5 linked regions of the Ovis aries genome follow. The protein of the gene in region 1 binds, or shares a complex with, the protein of each later gene. Links are inferred from orthologs where the notes say so. Each region holds a gene or a part of one and is shown in the gene's direction. Other genes may lie near its edges. The genes, in order: MYO6, GIPC1, TOM1, CLTA and GIPC2.

What was found.
Region 2: the proteins of MYO6 (region 1) and GIPC1 are in contact, whole or in part, in a crystal structure (PDB 5V6E), measured with the Mus musculus proteins. The link is inferred for Ovis aries from reciprocal best matches to the Homo sapiens genes MYO6 and GIPC1. Residues at the interface, in NP_001034635.2 of Mus musculus: Ser1055, Lys1056, Trp1057, Lys1058, Tyr1059, Ala1060, Arg1084, Arg1085, Leu1086, Val1088, Tyr1089, Trp1092, Lys1093, Asn1096; in NP_061241.1 of Mus musculus: Glu273, Ser274, Tyr275, Met276, Gly277, Ile278, Arg279, Asp280, Glu282, Leu283, Thr286, Asp310, Phe311, Ala312, Pro314, Glu316.
Region 3: the proteins of MYO6 (region 1) and TOM1 are in contact, whole or in part, in a crystal structure (PDB 6J56), measured with the Homo sapiens proteins. The link is inferred for Ovis aries from reciprocal best matches to the Homo sapiens genes MYO6 and TOM1. Residues at the interface, in NP_001355794.1 of Homo sapiens: Ile1182, Phe1184, Trp1202, Gln1214, Glu1216, His1218, Asp1220, Lys1221, Pro1222, Ile1224, Leu1226, Glu1234, Met1235, Cys1236, Leu1238, Glu1242, Thr1243, Gly1244, Leu1245, Arg1247; in NP_005479.1 of Homo sapiens: Ser440, Glu441, Phe443, Phe446, Leu447, Arg450, Ala451, Ala453, Ala454, Asp455, Leu457, Pro458, Asn459, Leu460, Ser461.
Region 4: the proteins of MYO6 (region 1) and CLTA are in contact, whole or in part, in an NMR structure (PDB 6E5N), measured with the Homo sapiens proteins. The link is inferred for Ovis aries from reciprocal best matches to the Homo sapiens genes MYO6 and CLTA. Residues at the interface, in NP_001355794.1 of Homo sapiens: Met1053, Thr1054, Pro1055, Met1058, Ala1059, Met1062, Ser1087, Trp1089, Lys1090, Tyr1091, Glu1113, Arg1117, Leu1118, Val1120, Tyr1121, Trp1124, Asn1128; in NP_009027.1 of Homo sapiens: Glu47, Asn48, Glu50, Ala51, Phe52, Ile54, Leu55, Asp56, Gly57, Gly58, Ala59, Pro60, Gly61.
Region 5: the proteins of MYO6 (region 1) and GIPC2 are in contact, whole or in part, in a crystal structure (PDB 5V6H), measured with the Mus musculus proteins. The link is inferred for Ovis aries from reciprocal best matches to the Homo sapiens genes MYO6 and GIPC2. Residues at the interface, in NP_001034635.2 of Mus musculus: Ser1055, Lys1056, Trp1057, Lys1058, Tyr1059, Arg1084, Arg1085, Leu1086, Val1088, Tyr1089, Trp1092, Lys1093, Asn1096; in NP_058563.1 of Mus musculus: Glu255, Leu256, Tyr257, Met258, Gly259, Ile260, Asp262, Asp264, Leu265, Thr268, Thr289, Leu290, Asp292, Phe293, Ala294, Pro296.

What each region holds. Positions count from the first base shown.
Region 1 is NC_056061.1:2,723,920-2,727,550, forward strand, and holds part of MYO6 (unconventional myosin-VI), read left to right. Parts: intron 1-181; coding exon 182-332; intron 333-1,812; coding exon 1,813-2,021; intron 2,022-2,659; coding exon 2,660-2,738; intron 2,739-3,600; coding exon 3,601-3,631. UniProt on the Homo sapiens protein: Myosins are actin-based motor molecules with ATPase activity. Unconventional myosins serve in intracellular movements. Myosin 6 is a reverse-direction motor protein that moves towards the minus-end of actin filaments.
Region 2 is NC_056058.1:9,615,438-9,618,195, forward strand, and holds the end of GIPC1 (PDZ domain-containing protein GIPC1), read left to right. Parts: intron 1-653; coding exon 654-766; intron 767-1,094; coding exon 1,095-1,176; intron 1,177-1,319; coding exon 1,320-1,471; 3' UTR 1,472-2,168; downstream 2,169-2,758. UniProt on the Homo sapiens protein: May be involved in G protein-linked signaling.
Region 3 is NC_056056.1:179,193,067-179,196,697, forward strand, and holds part of TOM1 (target of Myb1 membrane trafficking protein), read left to right. Parts: intron 1-359; coding exon 360-480; intron 481-2,973; coding exon 2,974-3,049; intron 3,050-3,631.
Region 4 is NC_056055.1:52,357,356-52,360,986, reverse strand, and holds part of CLTA (clathrin light chain A), read left to right. Parts: intron 1-830; coding exon 831-948; intron 949-3,631. UniProt on the Homo sapiens protein: Clathrin is the major protein of the polyhedral coat of coated pits and vesicles.
Region 5 is NC_056054.1:54,582,698-54,586,221, forward strand, and holds part of GIPC2 (PDZ domain-containing protein GIPC2), read left to right. Parts: intron 1-2,416; coding exon 2,417-2,562; 3' UTR 2,563-3,524.

The sequences.
Region 1 (3,631 bases):
CATTCACATCCACACTTGATGATTTCTTTTACCCTCAACAAGAGACCTTAAAAAATATATATCGCATAACATGAAAACAGAAGTATTCTGTTTAGTCATATTTTTAGCATTTAATTAAAATGAAAAATCTATTTGTATGATTAAATGGTAGAATTAAAGTGATAAAGTATTATCTTTGCAGCATTGATGGCCTGGTTAAGGTGGGCACACTGAAAAAACGGCTCCATAAATTTAATGAAGTAGTAAATGCATTGAAAGATGGAAAACCAGAGATGAATAAACAGGTCAAGGACCTTGAAATTTCTATTGATGCTTTAATGGCCAAAATTAAGGTATGTAGTTTTAACCCAAATCACTTTTGACTTTTAAAAACAGTTTAATATTTTTTGTTACTATATTGAAATTTTATAGAAAAATGTCCTTTTTTAAAAAAAATACAGACTGTTAGATGTGTTGAGTCTCAGTGATAAGTGATAGTCATCTTATTTTCTCTACTCTGTGTTTGAAATTTTTCATAGCAAAAAAATTAAAATGAAGACAATTTTTGTGCAATTCATTTGTTGCTAGGAAAGACTTTTCCAAAATATTAACTAAAATATTATACTTTTGGTAAGCTTTTGCAAAATCATTACTGAGAGAAAATTAATGCAAATTGTTTTATTTTGTTTCATGCTTTTCTACTTTCAGAAACTAATTTTTAAATTTTAAAAGTAATAGTCTCAAAAATTTGGAGAAAATCTGCCCCACTTCTTTACCCCTCACACTAACACATTCACCTATATACTGTTGCATGTTCCTCTCAGTCTTATTTTATATGCACATATTTTTGCACCGTTCTTATAAGGTACATTATATTTCACATTCCTATCATTATGTTATTGCCTCGTCCCTATTATTAAATTATTTTCATGTAGGCTATATCATAAATTACTTAACTTTCACGAAATAACAATTAATTTTCTCCCATATTTTGTAAGAAAAAAAGCGAGAGGGCATCTTTGGTTTTGATTTTTGTTTGATTACTAGTGGGATTGAAAATTTTTTCTTTGTGCTTGTTTGTTGATTTTGTTCATCTATTCGTATCATTTTCTGTAATATTTTAGGGCCTCAATGTTTTTCTCATTGACTTTCATAATTCATTGCAGTTATGTGAAATATAATATCTTAAAGTGAGACTTTTAGATATTTTCTACAGATAATGATAAATCTTGGAGTAAGAATGGAGAAAGAAGTCAAGAGAAAACTGAAAATGCTTTGGATAGCCTTAGCTGATTTTACAGATCTGTCCAGAACCACCCCTGTTTATGTGGTATTAATCAATTAAAATCAACCCAGCCACATTTAAGAAAATCATCCAACAATTTTGGGTATAATGATAATTTCTTAAATATCCCCAATGTATTATTTGATCCTTAATATTAAAGAGTAGTAAATTCTGGCAAAATTAATCATTTCTTAAAAAATAAACTTTAACTACAGTATATTAGTTTGTGCACAGTATACTCTTAAGATACTTGATTACTTGATAGGAAGTAGACTCAAATTTTGTTCATAGAGATAACTTAAAATTTAAGTATTCTTTAATATTTAAGCAATAAAAAGATAGTGGGCCTCCTGCTTACCAGCTTTTTCAGTTTTGCTGTGTCTGTGCATGGTGGTTTGTTTCCTTAATTGTGTGAAACGCATACCATTAAACTTACCACTTTAACCAGGTTTTAAATGTACAGTTCAGTGGTGTTCAGTGTGTTCTAACTGTTGTACAGCAGAAGAGATGACTTTTTAAGTGCACGTCCATTGTGTTCTTTCTTTCAGTCCACGGTGATGACAAGGGAACAAATACAGAAAGAGTATGATGCTCTAGTTCAAAGCTCAGAGGTCCTTCTCAGCGCGCTGCAGAAGAAAAAGCAGCAGGAGGAAGAAGCAGAAAGGCTGAGGCGCATTCAAGAAGAAATGGAAAAAGAAAGAAAAAGACGTGAAGAAGATGAGCAACGTCGAAGGAAGGAGGAGGAGGAAAGGCGGATGTAAGGCATTTATGTTGTTGCCTTGGATTAGAAACTGACGCCATAGTGAACTCTGAAGTGTTGACGGTGGTTAATGAATATTCTTATCTGTAAAAGTGATATTCTTATATTTAAATACTAATTTTAGAAGAAGTTTGAAAATGGAGAAAGTAAGCTCACTTTACAGTAACATAAAATGATTTTAATTATAATCTGAATTTTGGTTAAACTCACACCTGAGGATTTCTTAACTTCTTTTTGAAACTGACTTTCATATTATTTTATGATCTAGGAAGAAAGTACTTTTCTGCAGTTTTAAAACTGATAAAATTTTGGAAGCTTGCCATAGTAGGGCAGACAGAAGGAATATGAGTTGTCTAATTGGAGAGGCAGTGTGATTAAGACCTTACAAGTACGCTTGGTAACCAAGTTAATCCAGAGATGTTAAAGGTTATGGAATATAATTATTTCTTTTGTTTCTAAAGAGCTGCTATCAAAGTTAGATTTTATTTTTCAGAAAATAAGTTAATAATGTAATAGGTTAATTTGACTTCCCATTTTGTAACATTTATTTATTAATAAACTTTCTTCTGAAGAGTTTCTTATTTTCTGTTAATTTTTGAAGAGTTTTCTAATTTTTTTTTTTTTTTTTTTTTTAGGAAACTTGAGATGGAAGCAAAGAGAAAACAAGAAGAAGAAGAAAGAAAGAAAAGAGAAGATGATGAAAAACGTATTCAGGTCTGTACTTTCTAGGCAGTCAGACTGAATTCTTACTAAATAGAATCTGCAAAACTATAAAACAAAAGAAGATCTTCATTTACTAGATAAATTGTCACTGATTTATCCTAGAGAGCAAAGGCAGTTTCAGAAGTGGTTATAGGAAGGGACTTTGGAGCTAGGGAAGTGAGTTCAAATCCAGCCTCTCACTGACAGAAATCGTGATATTGCAGGAGTTACAGTGAGTGACTGTGGGCCACAGTTTTCTTTCTGGAATGGAGATAAATAATAATTGTGAGCATTAAATGAGATAATACCTATTAAAGCATTTAGAACAGTGCCTTGTTTAGTAGGTATTAGTTTGTCATCATTTAGAGGGGGACAGTCAGATCAGCATTCAGTCACAACATAATTATCTAATATTTTTAAATGTTATTTTATAACTTTGTAGATGCTAATATTAATAGGTTAGGATTAAGATACTCTCACTATTGCCACCATCTTTAAAAAAAAAATCCATGTCTGAGAATAATTAATCCTATTTTGAGTGTCTGTCTTGGCTTTCTGATTTATCCTGAACACAACCAATACTTTAAGTTCCTGAAATCTGCAGTGTAGGTGTTGGTATTCAGGTCACACCAAGGCTACTGATGTGATGTTTGGGAGACTCATATTCTAGTGATAGAATGGCGGATTCTTACTTTGGGGCTTGAGGAAACATTAATCATAATATAGAAGGGGAGAAGATGGTAGATTTCTGGGTAAAGAGTATGTATTTCTTAGTTTAAAAAAAAAAAGAAAAAACGTGTATGGAGCAAGTGTGCACAGTGAGGGGATGAGCAGAGAGAGAGGGGCCCGGCGTCAAGGCCTTCTGTGCCGGCAGGCAGAGGTGGAGGCGCAGCTGGCCCGGCAGC
Region 2 (2,758 bases), on another chromosome or scaffold:
CCCCACCCTTCTGCTGGGAGAGGGTGTTGGCTCTCTGCCCAGCTCAGGTGGAGGATGGAGGCAAGGAGGAAGTTGCCCCCACACCCAGCTTCCAGGAGCCATTAGCCTAGCCAAGCGCCCCCAACCTGGCCAACCCCCTAGCCCCAAGAAGCCAGGCTTGGCTGCCCTGTGCCAGGCCCCCTACTTTTTTGTCCAGCTTCATTAACTCTCCGGAATGGGCTCAAGGTCCCTGGCGTGGGGGAGGGGGACTCTAAAACACTTCCCCAGGCAGATAGGGTTGGTCTAAAACACTTCCCCAGGCAGATAGGGTTGGTCTGCTGCCCAGCAGCTAAACCCCCTTGGCCTTGGGGAAAGTAGATAGAGACCCAGGACCCATCCCCTTCCTGTCCCTCCGGCCCTGGGAACAGGAGTGGTCCCCTCCAGCCTCCCAGCCCTTTTCCAATCCTAGCCCCTGGCTGTGCCTCCTACACCCCGCCAAGCCAGAGTCAGGAGACCTGCCCTCCTGGGGTCACCTCCACCCCCAGTGCCCCCAAAGCCTACAGAAGCTTGGAGAAGGTGGAGGGTGGGCTGAGGCCGGGATGTCTGGGTTTCTGCCCAGAACATGCTGGAACTGGGCTTCTCCAGTCCTCACCCCATCCCCCTATCTCCCACAGACATGATCAGCGTGCGTTCAGGGGGTGGCCGCCCTGGCTCCGGTCCCCAGCTGGGTACTGGCCGAGGGACCCTCCGGCTCCGATCCCGGGGTCCAGCCACAGTAGAGGATCTGGTGAGTGTGCCAGCCGAGCCTAAGTCCCTCCCCGCTCCACCCCCCACCACCACTTTCCTGTGAAATTCATAGGTGGCAGCATCACTCTTAGCTGAGGGCCTCTGGGCACTGGATGTCCATCCACCTCTGCCACCTCCCAGCTCTGGGACCTTCCTTAGGCAAGTGGACCTCAGTTTCCTAATCTGTGAAACTTTTGGGGTTGTCATGAGGAAGAACCGTGGGTTTCTATACCAAAAGTGGTGTAAAAAAAAATTTGCACTCAGCGTTCAGTATAATTACAGGTATATTCACATTATTATAATGTCGTCTTCCCTCTTTCCGCCCCCAGCCTTCAGCCTTTGAGGAGAAGGCCATTGAGAAGGTGGATGACCTGTTAGAGAGTTACATGGGCATCAGGGACACAGAGTTGGGTAAGTGAGGAGGGGGTCATCAGGGTCTGGGGATGGGTGGGAGTGTGGGAGAAAGGGGCTTGCAGGTCCTGGGGGGCCAAGTCTACCCTGAGCCCCTCTGTCATCTGTGCCTCCATTCTGCTCCCCTGTCCTTCCCCCTCCAGCGGCCACCATGGTGGAGCTCGGAAAGGACAAAAGGAACCCGGATGAGCTGGCTGAGGCCCTGGATGAACGGCTGGGTGACTTCGCCTTCCCGGATGAGTTTGTCTTTGACGTCTGGGGTGCCATCGGGGACGCCAAGGTTGGCCGCTACTAGGCCTTCCGCTGGACCTCGAGATGACTTGGGCCAGGCCCGGTGGGAGCCTCTGGGGCGGAGACACCGTAGCCTGGACCCCAGTGTCTGGCTCTGGCCCAGCTCAGTAGCCTGGAGATGATGCGGAGCGGAGGTGGGGCTGGGCCTCTGCCCCTCCTCCAATCGGTACCACCCCCTCGCCAGTTCCCAGCCTGGCTGGGGCGCCCAGCCCCCCACCCCCGCCCTCCTCCCCACCTACCTCAGCCAGGGTCAGGCACAGCGGTGGAGAGGGACCAGCCAGATTGGGTGGCCACCCCCACCTCCCTGCCCCCAATACTTTCCGCCTCAGCTGCCAAACTGGTCCCTCCTATCTCCCTGGGGCCTCGGGTTCTGTTTGGGGGTCGTGACCTCCCTAGTTTCCTGATGCAGGGAATGCAGGAGGGGGGTGTGTCCCCCCCCTCAGCAAATGCAATAATGCCCTCCTCTTCCACCACCCCCCCCCCATCTCCCCAGAGGAGCCCCCTCACTGTGGAGTCTGTTACCTCCGCATTTGAAACACTAGTCTGCTGTGAAACCCCCCCAAACTCCCTCCCTCCCCAGCCCCGCTCGTGTCTCCCTCAGCTCAGCCCCAGACTGAAGGGGCAGGAGGGAGGGATGATGGTGGTGGGCTTTTGTACCTGAATTTGCTGTCTGGAACATAAAGAATCTATCTGCTGTTGGATCTGTGTGTTGGCTTCGGGGTGGGAGAGGAGGGTGGGTCAGGGCTGGGAAAGAATGTAGCAGCTGAAATCCATCCTCTTCGGGCTCCAAATTGAATTAAGAGCTGGCCCCAGCCACCCGCCCCCTCCCACCCGGTCCGCCTGATGAGGCTCTTGGCTGCAAGCCACCAGGCTTCCAGGCAAGGCCGGAGCTTCTTCGTCTACTCAGGGTGCAAATCTTGCTCCCTTTCGAACAAAGCTTCCCGCCACCCTCTGGCCTGATGTGAACAGTGGGCAAGAGGCAGTGGGCCCTTGTCTGTTCTGACCCAGTGGCCCGGAGAGCCCCCAGGCCAGAAAGTGAAAGCGTTACTCGCTCAGTCCTGTCTGACTCGTTGCGACCCCGTGGACTGTATATCCTGCCAGGCTCTTCTGCCCATGGAATTCCCCAGGCAGGGATACTGGAGTGGGTTGCCGACCCAGGGATCGAACCCCAGTCTTCTGCATTGTAGGCAGATTCTTTGCTGTCTGGGCCAGAAGGCATGGAGAAAGAAAGATGGGGTGGGCTTCAGATGGGGTCTCAGCCTGCCCCAGTCAGTGCTGATAGGGAGGAACC
Region 3 (3,631 bases), on another chromosome or scaffold:
TTGGACACGTAACGTGGACACCCTGGACCCCTCTTCTCCTGAATAAGCTTATGCACAGAGCGGGCTTAGACCAGGCCAGGCCCAGAATGGGCTCCTGGTGCACGTCAGCCGTCAGCACCATCGTCACTTGATCTGTTAAGTGTTATCGGCTGCCTGCTCAGAAGTAATTGAGAGAGAGGAGGTGAGGTGCCCGGTGTCCCTCAGCCAGCAGGTGGCCTGTCCCACCCATATGCCCTACCCTGCCCCACTCCAAGTTGCCCTGCTTCTCCAGAACCGACCTGGGCCTGGCAGGAAGCAGCCCAGCCATGACTCCAAGGACAGCCAGGCAGACCCTTCATGTGGTCTTTTTGTCCCCACAGACCTGGGCTCCAGCAGCGTGAGGGCTGGCCTGCAGTCTCTGGAGGCCTCCGGCCGACTGGAAGATGAGTTTGACATGTTTGCACTGACGCGGGGCAGCTCACTGGCTGACCAACGCAAAGAGTGAGTGCTGAAACCCACCCTGGGCTCCTGCGGTTTGGGTCAACCGCTGTCAGGGGAGGGCCTCTCTCCAGGTCCCTGAGCTCGGTGTATGGGTGGGCACACCAGCCCCTACCTGCACCCCCTCAGGATGGCAGAGTTTTTCCCCCTGAGTCAGTCCTACATGGCCTGGGATGGATGAGGGAGGGACGCCCATTGGGTGACGACTAGCTTGGTTCCAGAATCTTACACAAGCCGAGCAGATGAGGAAACAGAGACTCTGAGAGGCTGGTCATTTGCCCCACCTCAGGCAGCTAATGTTTGACAGAGTCAGGAACCCCAGACTGTCTGGTTCTAAAACGCAGTGTCCCAACCCAGCCCAGCTCCCCACTGCACTGTACATCATGTACCAAGCCCTCAGAGACTGGTCCAGTGATTTCTGCTATTCTGCAACCAGCCTTAATTTCCATGGAAGTTGCATTATCCCACTCGAGTCTGCCTGCCCTGCCCTCGAGCTTGGGCTCTATGCTTCCTGGGACTGTCCATTTTCAGGGAGATACTTTTAGCAGTGGAGGCCACATGGCCAAATGTCCACCAGGCCGGCTTCCCAGGACCAGCTCCATATGGCTGATCAGGGGACAGGGTTTGCTTAGGGCTGTTATCAGCCTTTTGCTTGTAACCCCGGGGCAGGTACCAGGTACCAGGTAACCAGGATGTAAAACCAAGGAAAGCACTGGACTAAGGGAACTTCTTGGCAGACTCCATTCCGGTCTCCTTGGGAGCTGTTGATAGGCCTCCAGAGGGCCCAGGGGTCCCCCATCCACTCTGGCCAGTCCCAGTGAAACCTGACAGGCTATAGCCGGCTTGGCTCATAGGGCTGCTCACAGCCCCACCCACTGGCTGGCCAGCCCTGCCCTGTGAGCCGAACCCTTGAGTCTGGGGCGGAGTTTGTGCTCCCAAGCCCAGATGCCCTGGGACCAGTGGCTCACGGTCACCTTGGAGGTAGGGGCGCAGTGAGGCTGCTGTGTGACTGGAGGCTAATGAGTCTGGTGGGACTTGCCGCCAGAAGGGTGGCCCGGCTGAGGTTTGCAGCTGTGCTGTCCCTACTCTGGGGAGCCCTGAAGGCCAGAGAAAAGCACACCCCGAGCTTGCCTCCAGAGCCTGCAGTCTCTTGGGATTGGGAGGTAGCCTGCCTGTGGGCCGCTGCTGTGCAGTGCTAGGCTGTGGATCAGTTCGTGTAAAGGGTCAGGCAGGGGTAGAGTGAGACACCCAGTTTTCTGGTTGGCTGCAGCCCCTTTGCGTGGTGAGCCATGTGACAGGGTTAACTCGCCAATTCCCATGCCCTCCTGGCTATCTCTGTTCTTCAGAAAGGCTGCCTGAGAATTTGGGGGTTTATTCTAGAGCCCCCTTTAAGTTGCCAGCCTACCCAGTCCCCAGGGAGGCAGGTTGGCACTATCAGAGCCACATGTGCTATGCTTGCGCTGGTCCAGCCCAGCTCCAGCAGTGTGAGGTGCTCCCCACCCACCCCACCTGGAAGAAGACCCCTCCTCCCTAATGGCGCAGGGCTTTCCTTTGAGGCTAGAATCCCAAGATTCTCATCTTCACCTCAACAGCTGACCCAGGGACTTCCTGATGGTCCAGTGATTGACTCCATGCTTCCAATGCAGGGGGCACAGTTTCGATCCCTTTCAGGGAACTAGATCCCACATATCATACATGACCACCAGAAGAAAAAAGACTGACCCAGTCTCACCTCCTCTCTGCCAGCAGTTCAGGGCAAGAATGACAGCTCTTCCCAAGCTGCTGGACCATGTCCCCGAAGCCTCCCTGGATGTCCCCCTCTGTAGCAGCCAGAGAGACACCAGCCCCCTTGTTAGCACGGGCTTTCCTCCCGCTCCCCCGAACCTTCACTGGAGACACGGCAGATCCCTCCCTCCCCACCCTCCTCTGCTCGGAGGGTACAGTGTCCCCCGCGTTTCCTCCCAGTCGCCGGGGCTGGCACCCCGAGCGCATGCAGAATCCTCACCCGCCGTCTGCAGGTCTGTTTTCAGCTGCAGAGTGCGGTTCCCCCGTTCACACACAGCCTTCACAGAACCACAGGTTCTGAAATTACGCTGTGGGAGCTGCTCTGGAGAGGGTCTAGATACGAGCTCTCCATGACCACGGGGTCTGGGACGCTGTGCTCATCCCTGTAGTGTGGCCAAATCCAGGAATAGGAGGTCGGTGGACTTGGTCTCTGACCCCCAACACCTCGCTTCTCCAGCCTCGCTCTGCCTGTCATACAAGCCACATGTCTGACCCAGGTTCCCAAAGGCAGGAAAGGAGACCTTTTGCTCCATCTCAAGGCAGGCCTGCAGATTGGTGCCCCTCTTGGGGCTCCTGCCCAGGCACATTCTGAGTCCACACAGAATGTGGGTCTAGCCCTTGCCCACCCAACCCCTTCCCTCCTCATGTCGGCTGGCATGTCTGGTATGGTGAGGGTGGCAGGTAATGGCCACAGTGGCCTCTGTATTTCAGGGTAAAATACGAAGCCCCTCAAGCAACAGATGGCCTGGCTGGAGCCCTGGATGCCCGGCAGCAGAGCACTGGAGCGGTAAGCAGAGGGGCCTGTCCAGAGGAAGGCTGGGCAGTGCTTGCCTGGCGGTGCCCCTGGTTTATGACAGGAGGTGTGAGAGTGTGGATGGGAGGGGCTCAGCACTGACTTGGAGCTGAGCTAGTATTCAGCCCCTCTGCCCCTCCAGAGCCCTGTTATCTGCAGGAATGTGGACAGAGAGGGGCTGGAGGACAGACCCTAAAACCACAGGGAGGCACCCAAAGGTGCCACTTGTATTCCATTTAACTGCTGGCATATGTGGAATGAAAGCCACTTGCCACACTGAGCACGCTGTACCAGCCACTTGCCCCCTTGGCAGGAGTTCCAAGGACAGTTCCCTTGCCTTTAAATTTGTTTCTGGGTGCCTTTTGGGCAGAGAGCGGTAGTTACAACGTGCAGGACCTGGGCGCTGGAGAGGCAAGGCCAGTGAACAGCAGGGCCAAGGAGGGGGTTGGTCACAACCCAGGGCTTCAAAGGTACAGGTGGGACTGGGCGCTGGAACGTGAAGCCTGAGGGGCAACTGGGAGGACTGGCTTCTCCTGCCTGAGGTGGGAGCCCTGGGCAGTCTGGAGCAGAGGTTGG
Region 4 (3,631 bases), on another chromosome or scaffold:
AATGGGAATAAAAATTTGCCTTGCAAGGTGTTTGGGAGATAAAGGGTTCATGTGGCTGAAACATGGACGGTTCTAATAATAAGTGAATACTACTGTAAATCGTTTGCTTTCCATCTTTGTTTATAGTCTGCTGAGGTTAAGCTGGTAATGTTCCTAGTTCAGTAGGTGCAGTAATTCTCTAAAGATTAAATTCCATTTGAATCTTTATCAACTTGTTTACTAGCTCCCCAATCTTAGCCACTATAAAGAAGAGTCAGCCCCCTACCCACCCGCTCCCTCCTACCCACTGCCACATACACTGATTCACATTTGCCTGCCTTTTTTTCTTTTTCTTGGTATGACTGTACTAACTATGCATTTTCTTTTGGACTCTCTTCCCTAGAATTCACTGTAGTTTGCCTAGGTGGTATACAGTGAACTTTTCCCTGTATTGTATAATAAGCATTTGGAAGTGTCAGGTTCTAGGTCTTACTGTATCATGTATTTACCTTTGTTACTTTGAAGATATTATAGTCTCTTTGTCAAGTAAGGAAAACAAAGTTGATGATACTGTTTTCCTAGTAAGTCCATTACCCACTTCCCCAACTTTGCTTTCTCCCACTCATGTCTCATTTAGTAGCCGGATAACAGCTACTCTGCCTACCTTGTGGGTTGTAAGGCTTGAGTGCATCACGTTGAAAGCTTCCTACCAGCATGTAAGGATGTTGTTGCTCCTTCACATTTAGAGCAGCCATCAGTGTGGCACGTAACCAGGGGTTCTAACTTGGGTGAAGGGCATGTCGGGGAGGAGGTTTTGGAACTGATAGAGCACAACTGTGTTTTCTGTTAAGGAGAGTAATGGGCCGACAGACAGTTACGCAGCTATTTCACAAGTGGATCGATTGCAGTCAGAGCCTGAAAGTATCCGTAAATGGAGAGAAGAGCAGACGGAACGCTTGGAAGCCCTTGGTAAGGAATCCCTTTCTGTCTTCGGGTGTCTGTTTTCAGTGGAATAGTTGACCTTGACTCTACTGTTACCCATTTTTAACATGAATTAGCCGTAATGTCCTTGTCCAGTTTTGGAGAGGGTATGTTTCACAATGAGAAGATCACAACACCACCTACATGGAGATGCTTCATCACAAGCCCAGAGTCACAAGTGCACCCTCCCTTCTCGGAAAGGGCAGAGTGGTGCTGTGGATAGAGTCTTGGAGTGAAAGACTGGGTTCCAGGTCAAACCGTAACTCTTTACTAGCTGCGGGCACTTGGTTGCTCAAACCTTAGAGCCTGTTTCTTCATCTGTGAAGTAAGATCAGTGTTACCAACCCCAAGGGTAGTCTGAGATGGTATATATGAAAGTGCTTCATAAACCTGAAGATGTTATATCCATGCGAGGGACTGCACAGTCCATTGACAATTTGAAGGCTGAATTTAAGGTAATGCTTAAGAGGAAAGTGAGAGGAATGTTAGGAAGTATGTACAGTTGGGTCTTCTCACGCTAACATCCCTGTGAGTTCTTAAGTTTTTATGGGTGAGGAAAAGGAGGATCATAGGAAGAGTAAGTTTTTGAATCACACAGCTAAAAGTGGTAGAGTCAGAATTTCAGCTTAAGTCTGCCCTGCTTCAGAATCCATACCCATCTCTCAGCAGCATTGCACTTAGCTTACAGCATTTTGAGGGCAGGCCAAGCCCAAGGTCAGTGCCAGTCAGCCTGGCCTTTGGTGAAGAGCCTTCTCCATGGAGTGTCAGCTGTTGGTCAAGATTAGGAGAGACTTGGTATCTGTCCATGGGTGTTGAAAAGGTGTGGTGGGGCAGGGGATGTTAACCGTGGAGTACTCTTCTCAACTCTTTATTAAAATTTCAAACATAGAGTGAGAATAAAACGTGCCCCTTCCTTCAGGTTCAGTAGTGAACATTTTGCCATATTTGGCTCTTTATATAAATGAGGTGTGTGTATACGTTCTTATTTTTTGGTATTAAAATATTTATTCGTCTATGGCAGGTTTTAGTTGTGGCACGCAGGCTTAGTTACCCCGCAGCATGTGGATTCTTCCTTCCCCAACCAAGCATGGAACTCATGTCTCTGCATCGAAAGGTGGATTCTTAACCACTGGACCACCAGGGAAATCCTGTATATGTTTTATACACTAATGTGAAAGTGAAGTGAAAGTCGCTCAGTCGTGTCTGACTCTTTGCGACCCAGTGGACTATACAGTCCATGGAATTCTCCAGGCCAGAATACTGGAGTGGGTAGCCTTTCCCTTCTCCAGGGGATCTTCCCAACCCAGGGATCGAACCTAGGTCTCCTGCATTGCAGGCGGATTCTTTACCAGCTGAGCCACCAGGGAAGCCCACTCACATGCCTACACATTTATGTGTATTGTGAATATACACATAATTTTTTTTTCTGATCCATTCAGATACAAACACCAGATACTTTATGCATAAATATTTTATTGTACATCTAGAAATAGCAATATGCGTCTGTAACCACAGTGACAGCATTATTATTCCTTCTTGAGAATGACTGAACTAGTGAAGACATGACTCAGATGGTGTGACTGACACCTAGAAATAGGAAAGGACTTGACCCAGATAATACAGCCAATTAGTGTCTCTCCAGTGTAATTTATGTGGCTTTCCAAACAGCGGGCACACTTAATCTCTCAGCATTATTCAATAGTAGTTTCTTTGATGATGTAAATGTTCCGTATCAGTGCTGTTCTGAATGTAACCACTAGCTGCTTGTGGCTAGTATGACTGAGAAACTGAATTTTAAATTTTATTTAATTTTAATAAATTTAAATAGCCATATGAAGCTAGTAGTCCCTGTACTGGATAGTGTAGTTTTTAAAAGGTGAAGATTGGTCTTCCTGGTGCTAGCAGCCTTGCTCCTTGCTATTCTTTAAATATCTCTTCTGAGTAGACTTTGAGGCAAGACTTGACGTAGCAACTATTATTGCTACTGGAATCTTCTTCGTGTTGCAGAACTCAGATATATCTTTTCTCTTTCCCCAAAGTTTAGCAAAGTTGACTTCTACATGGAGAAGAGTATACTTTGGTGTGTGGAAAAATTTCATTTTCATTTTCAGTTAACAATTTGGGCTCTTTGGGAATATTCCACAAAGTGTTGTTTTCTTAAGATGCCTTCCTGAGGGAAGTCAAATATTTGGCCTCATGTTCCAATGGAATTGAATTAAGTTGGTCCATGAATTAGGTGTTTCTGCAGTTTCACCTTTTTCCCTTGCAAGAACTATGAGAAAGTGCAAGATGCTAAAAATAGATAAGCAGTAGCCATGGTTTTCAGCTTGGCTGTGGGAGGTGTTTTCCAATACTTTGCTGTGAACAGTAATGAGCATGACCAGAGAAGACGGCTGTCCGTGAGCCCTGCTCTGCCTTCTCCCTCCCAGGTAGAAGGAGCTTGTATTTCAGCTGGGATCTTTGCTGCATCAAGCTAAGCATTTAAGAATTCTAAATTCTCATTGCCAGTGCCACTTCTTAAATCTATAAAAGCAAGAAGGTGGTTTACAGGCACTATATTATGCATTAACTATAATCTGTGCAAATAGACACAGTTTTTGACTACTTTTTCAGGGATACATTTCCATATTTTGATTCTAATATATAACCTTTTTAAAAAAAAATCATTAGA
Region 5 (3,524 bases), on another chromosome or scaffold:
TTCCCAGCCTTAATTTTTATGACCTTCATACTTTTGTGGGGTACAAGTCAGTTATTTTGTAAAATGTGCCTCAGTTTTGGATTCTTTTTTCATAATAGCATTCAGGTTGCACCTCTGGCAGAAATATCACAAATGTAGTGATGTGTTCTTTTCATTATATTTTACTTGGAGGCACAAGACTTCGATTTGTTCTGTTTATGATGTTGATGACTTCTTTAGGTGGTATCTGCTAAGCTTCTCCACTGAAAGTTATCCTCTTCATAATAAGTATTTGGTGAGGATATATTTTGAAGCTATGTAAATATCCTGTTCCTTGTGAATCAACCAACCAACCTTTCATCCATCTGTTTGTCAATCAACCAATCACTTCATTATGGATTCTTGGTTTCCTGTTTTGTTCAATAGGATTATAATCTATGACCATCACTAATTCTGATGCTCAGATTGTCCCTCATTGGGTCAATGGGAATTCTTCCGTTCTGATTTCTGTGTCTTTTCACATGTTCCTACCATTTTTGGGGAGACATTAGTTTCTGGAGGAGATATTCTTGGTTCATATTGTACTTTGCCTACTCCAGCCCTGGAATCAGCCATTTCTCTGAGGAACTCTGATTCTTTTTAGTGGAGAATGATATTTAACAACCAAGATCTGGGTGTTTTGTCTGCTCATTGCTATTGGGATGCCGCTTCTCCCGGGCCCTCCCAGTGGATTGGGGAATGTGTGTGTTCATGTCTTTACCTCTATAGTTTTTCATCTCTTTCTAAAAATACGTATTTCACTGATCTCTACAATTCTAATTTAGCAGGGTTCATTCTAGTTTTCTCCTTTTTCCTGTTAATCTTTCTCTGACAGTGACAAAACTTCTTTCCCATTATTCATTGTTTATATGCTTATGTGATCCATGCCCATGTATATAACCAATCTCTCATCAGTGTGGCTGCTGTCTTCCTCTCCCCTCCCCCATGCTCCCCTTACCACACCTGGACTCCACCCTATAACAGGTTGTCCAGCCAAGAGGAAGCCCTTCTTACTTAATTAGGACTTTGACCCCTGCCCCAGGTCACCCCATCCACATCCCACTTCTGCTCTGATTATGGTGTTCCTCTATGGGCCACATCTCTTTCCTTCCCCCAGCCTACCCGTGTTAGTACTGAAATGTTTGAGATGAAAAACAGTTCTTAAATGTCCTTAAGAGACCTAGTGGATTTTAATTGGAAGGACCAACCTCTTGGCTCATTCATAGAAATCATATAACCTTTGGTTTGTTTAACCTTAACCTGAGGACTGCCCTGGTGGTATAGCAGATAAGAATCTACCTGCCAATGCTGGGGACATGAGGGTGATCTCTGATCTGGAAAGATTCCACGTGCCATGGAGCAACTAAGGCCATGAGCTGTAGCTGCTGAGCTTGCATGCTGCAATTACTGAAACCCGTGTGCCTAGAGTCCGTGCTCTATAACAAGAGAAACCACTGCAATGAGAAGCCTGCTCACCATAATGAAGAGTAGCCCCTGCTAATACAACTAGAGAAAGACTGTGTGCAGCAATGAAGATCCAGCACAACCATATATATATATGTATATATATGTGTGTATATATATATGTATACTTATGTAAATATTAGCCTAGGGGAAAAACTGGGCTTTGGTATTTCCCTTTACCCAGCTGTTTTTCACCCAAGTCCCAAATTGCATCCACACTGTCTCTTCTGGTAGCTAATGCTTTAGAGGAATTACAAAAAGCCAGCTGAGTCCTATGGGATCCCCGCCAGGTGGTGCAGGTCTCATGGGAATGTTTACTCCTGAAGATGCTGGTTTCCCAGACATAAAATATGTCCAGGCAACTCATTAGAAAAACAGAACAAGGGTACCATCTTCACTTTCTAACCCAACCTGGAAATGGACTCAAAAAGAGCTACCTCAGTTCCATGAGTAGACAGATTCCCCCCGCTTCTCTCTAGCTTGATTTCTCCAAACTGTTATTCTTTGTCTTTTTTTCATAGTTGCAGGTGGGGGACTGGCAGACGGGACAGAAAGAGCTAGTTACTATGGGGAAGTGAGGAAGGGAGTACTCTGGGTTTCCTCTCTGGGTTAACCACAGGGTTTTCTTTCAGGAATTGTTGCTCCACCCACAGGAACACCAGAAGTTCCTATCTGATGGACTTCAAGACAGAGGAGAGGTCGGGGTAGCAACTGCAAACCTGGGTGCCAAAGATAGATGGTTTAAAACATCTTTGCTAACTTGATATGTGATGATAGCATGTTATTTTAATTTGTGCTAGAAGTATGTATATATGTATCTGTGTAACTTTTGGAAAATGCTTTTCCTGTTGCCCGTTTTCTCAGCCCTCTGATGCTGTATCATTAATGTATCATTAATGATGTATCATTAATTTTAAAAAATTATTTTTGATAGCTACTACAATGTTTGAAGCTGGAAAGGACAAAGGTAATCCAGATGAATTTGCTGTGGCACTTGATGAAACTCTTGGAGACTTTGCGTTCCCAGATGAATTTGTCTTTGATGTTTGGGGAGTCATTGGTGATGCCAAACAAGAATGATTATGATGTGAATGATCGACTCTGGAAGAATGCACCATTGTTTCTTAAGAAAAAAGTAAGATCTGCCTTCAGACACTGTTATGGACTCTGGCTTGGTTTTATGTGTATGAATACATTCTTCTGAAATATAGTCTTGATTTCTGGGCGCTTTTTAAATGCAGTTGTATATGGAGTATGCTTAAGATAAATTACCTCAAATGTAACCAATTTTAATATTCATTCAAAAGCTTTTTAAAAGTTAGTTTTAGAGAGTATTTCTAGATAGATAATTTTGTTTCCCATTGACAGCCGTGTTTTGTTTTTCACATAAAAGTTGATTGCAATAGCTTTGTAGTTCTTTTGCAAGATCTTAATGTAGTAAAAACTAGGATTGCAGTATAGTTTGCCTCATAGAGTCTTCATTTTGTTATACTAGTTTTAACAGGATGGGTTCAGAACATGAAATGTGAATTATGCCTCCTAGATGTCTGGTAACATTTTTTTTTTTTAAACCTGCTGAGTAAGAGGAGGAAGAGTCCTACAACCTATTAAAGTCTATGGCCTACTTTCTGTCTTTATTAAAACAAGGATTGATGAACTTTTATTTTTTGCTTCTTTGTAATTGCTTTCTTGATTCTTAAACTTGTTGAAATCTATTGTGTTGTAAATGTGTTTGCATGTGTAGAAGAAGGTGAAAAAGAGGAACTATCTTCTAACCTATCATTAGAAAACACTAATATTTAATTTTTTAGCAGTTCTTACAACATTATTTATTTTCCACTCATACCTACTCTTATGTTACCCTTTATAAGCATTCCAGAGAAAGTTTTTTATAGTCTTTGTAGAGCTTTTCTTTTGAAAGATGTTTACTCAGAAAATAGCTGTGTTTGAGGACATTTTTAGGGGGTGGTTAAAGAGCAAAACTTTTAAGTCTCCTAAACTTTTAAGGAGATGCTATCAGAATAGATTTCCTCCAAGTGAAA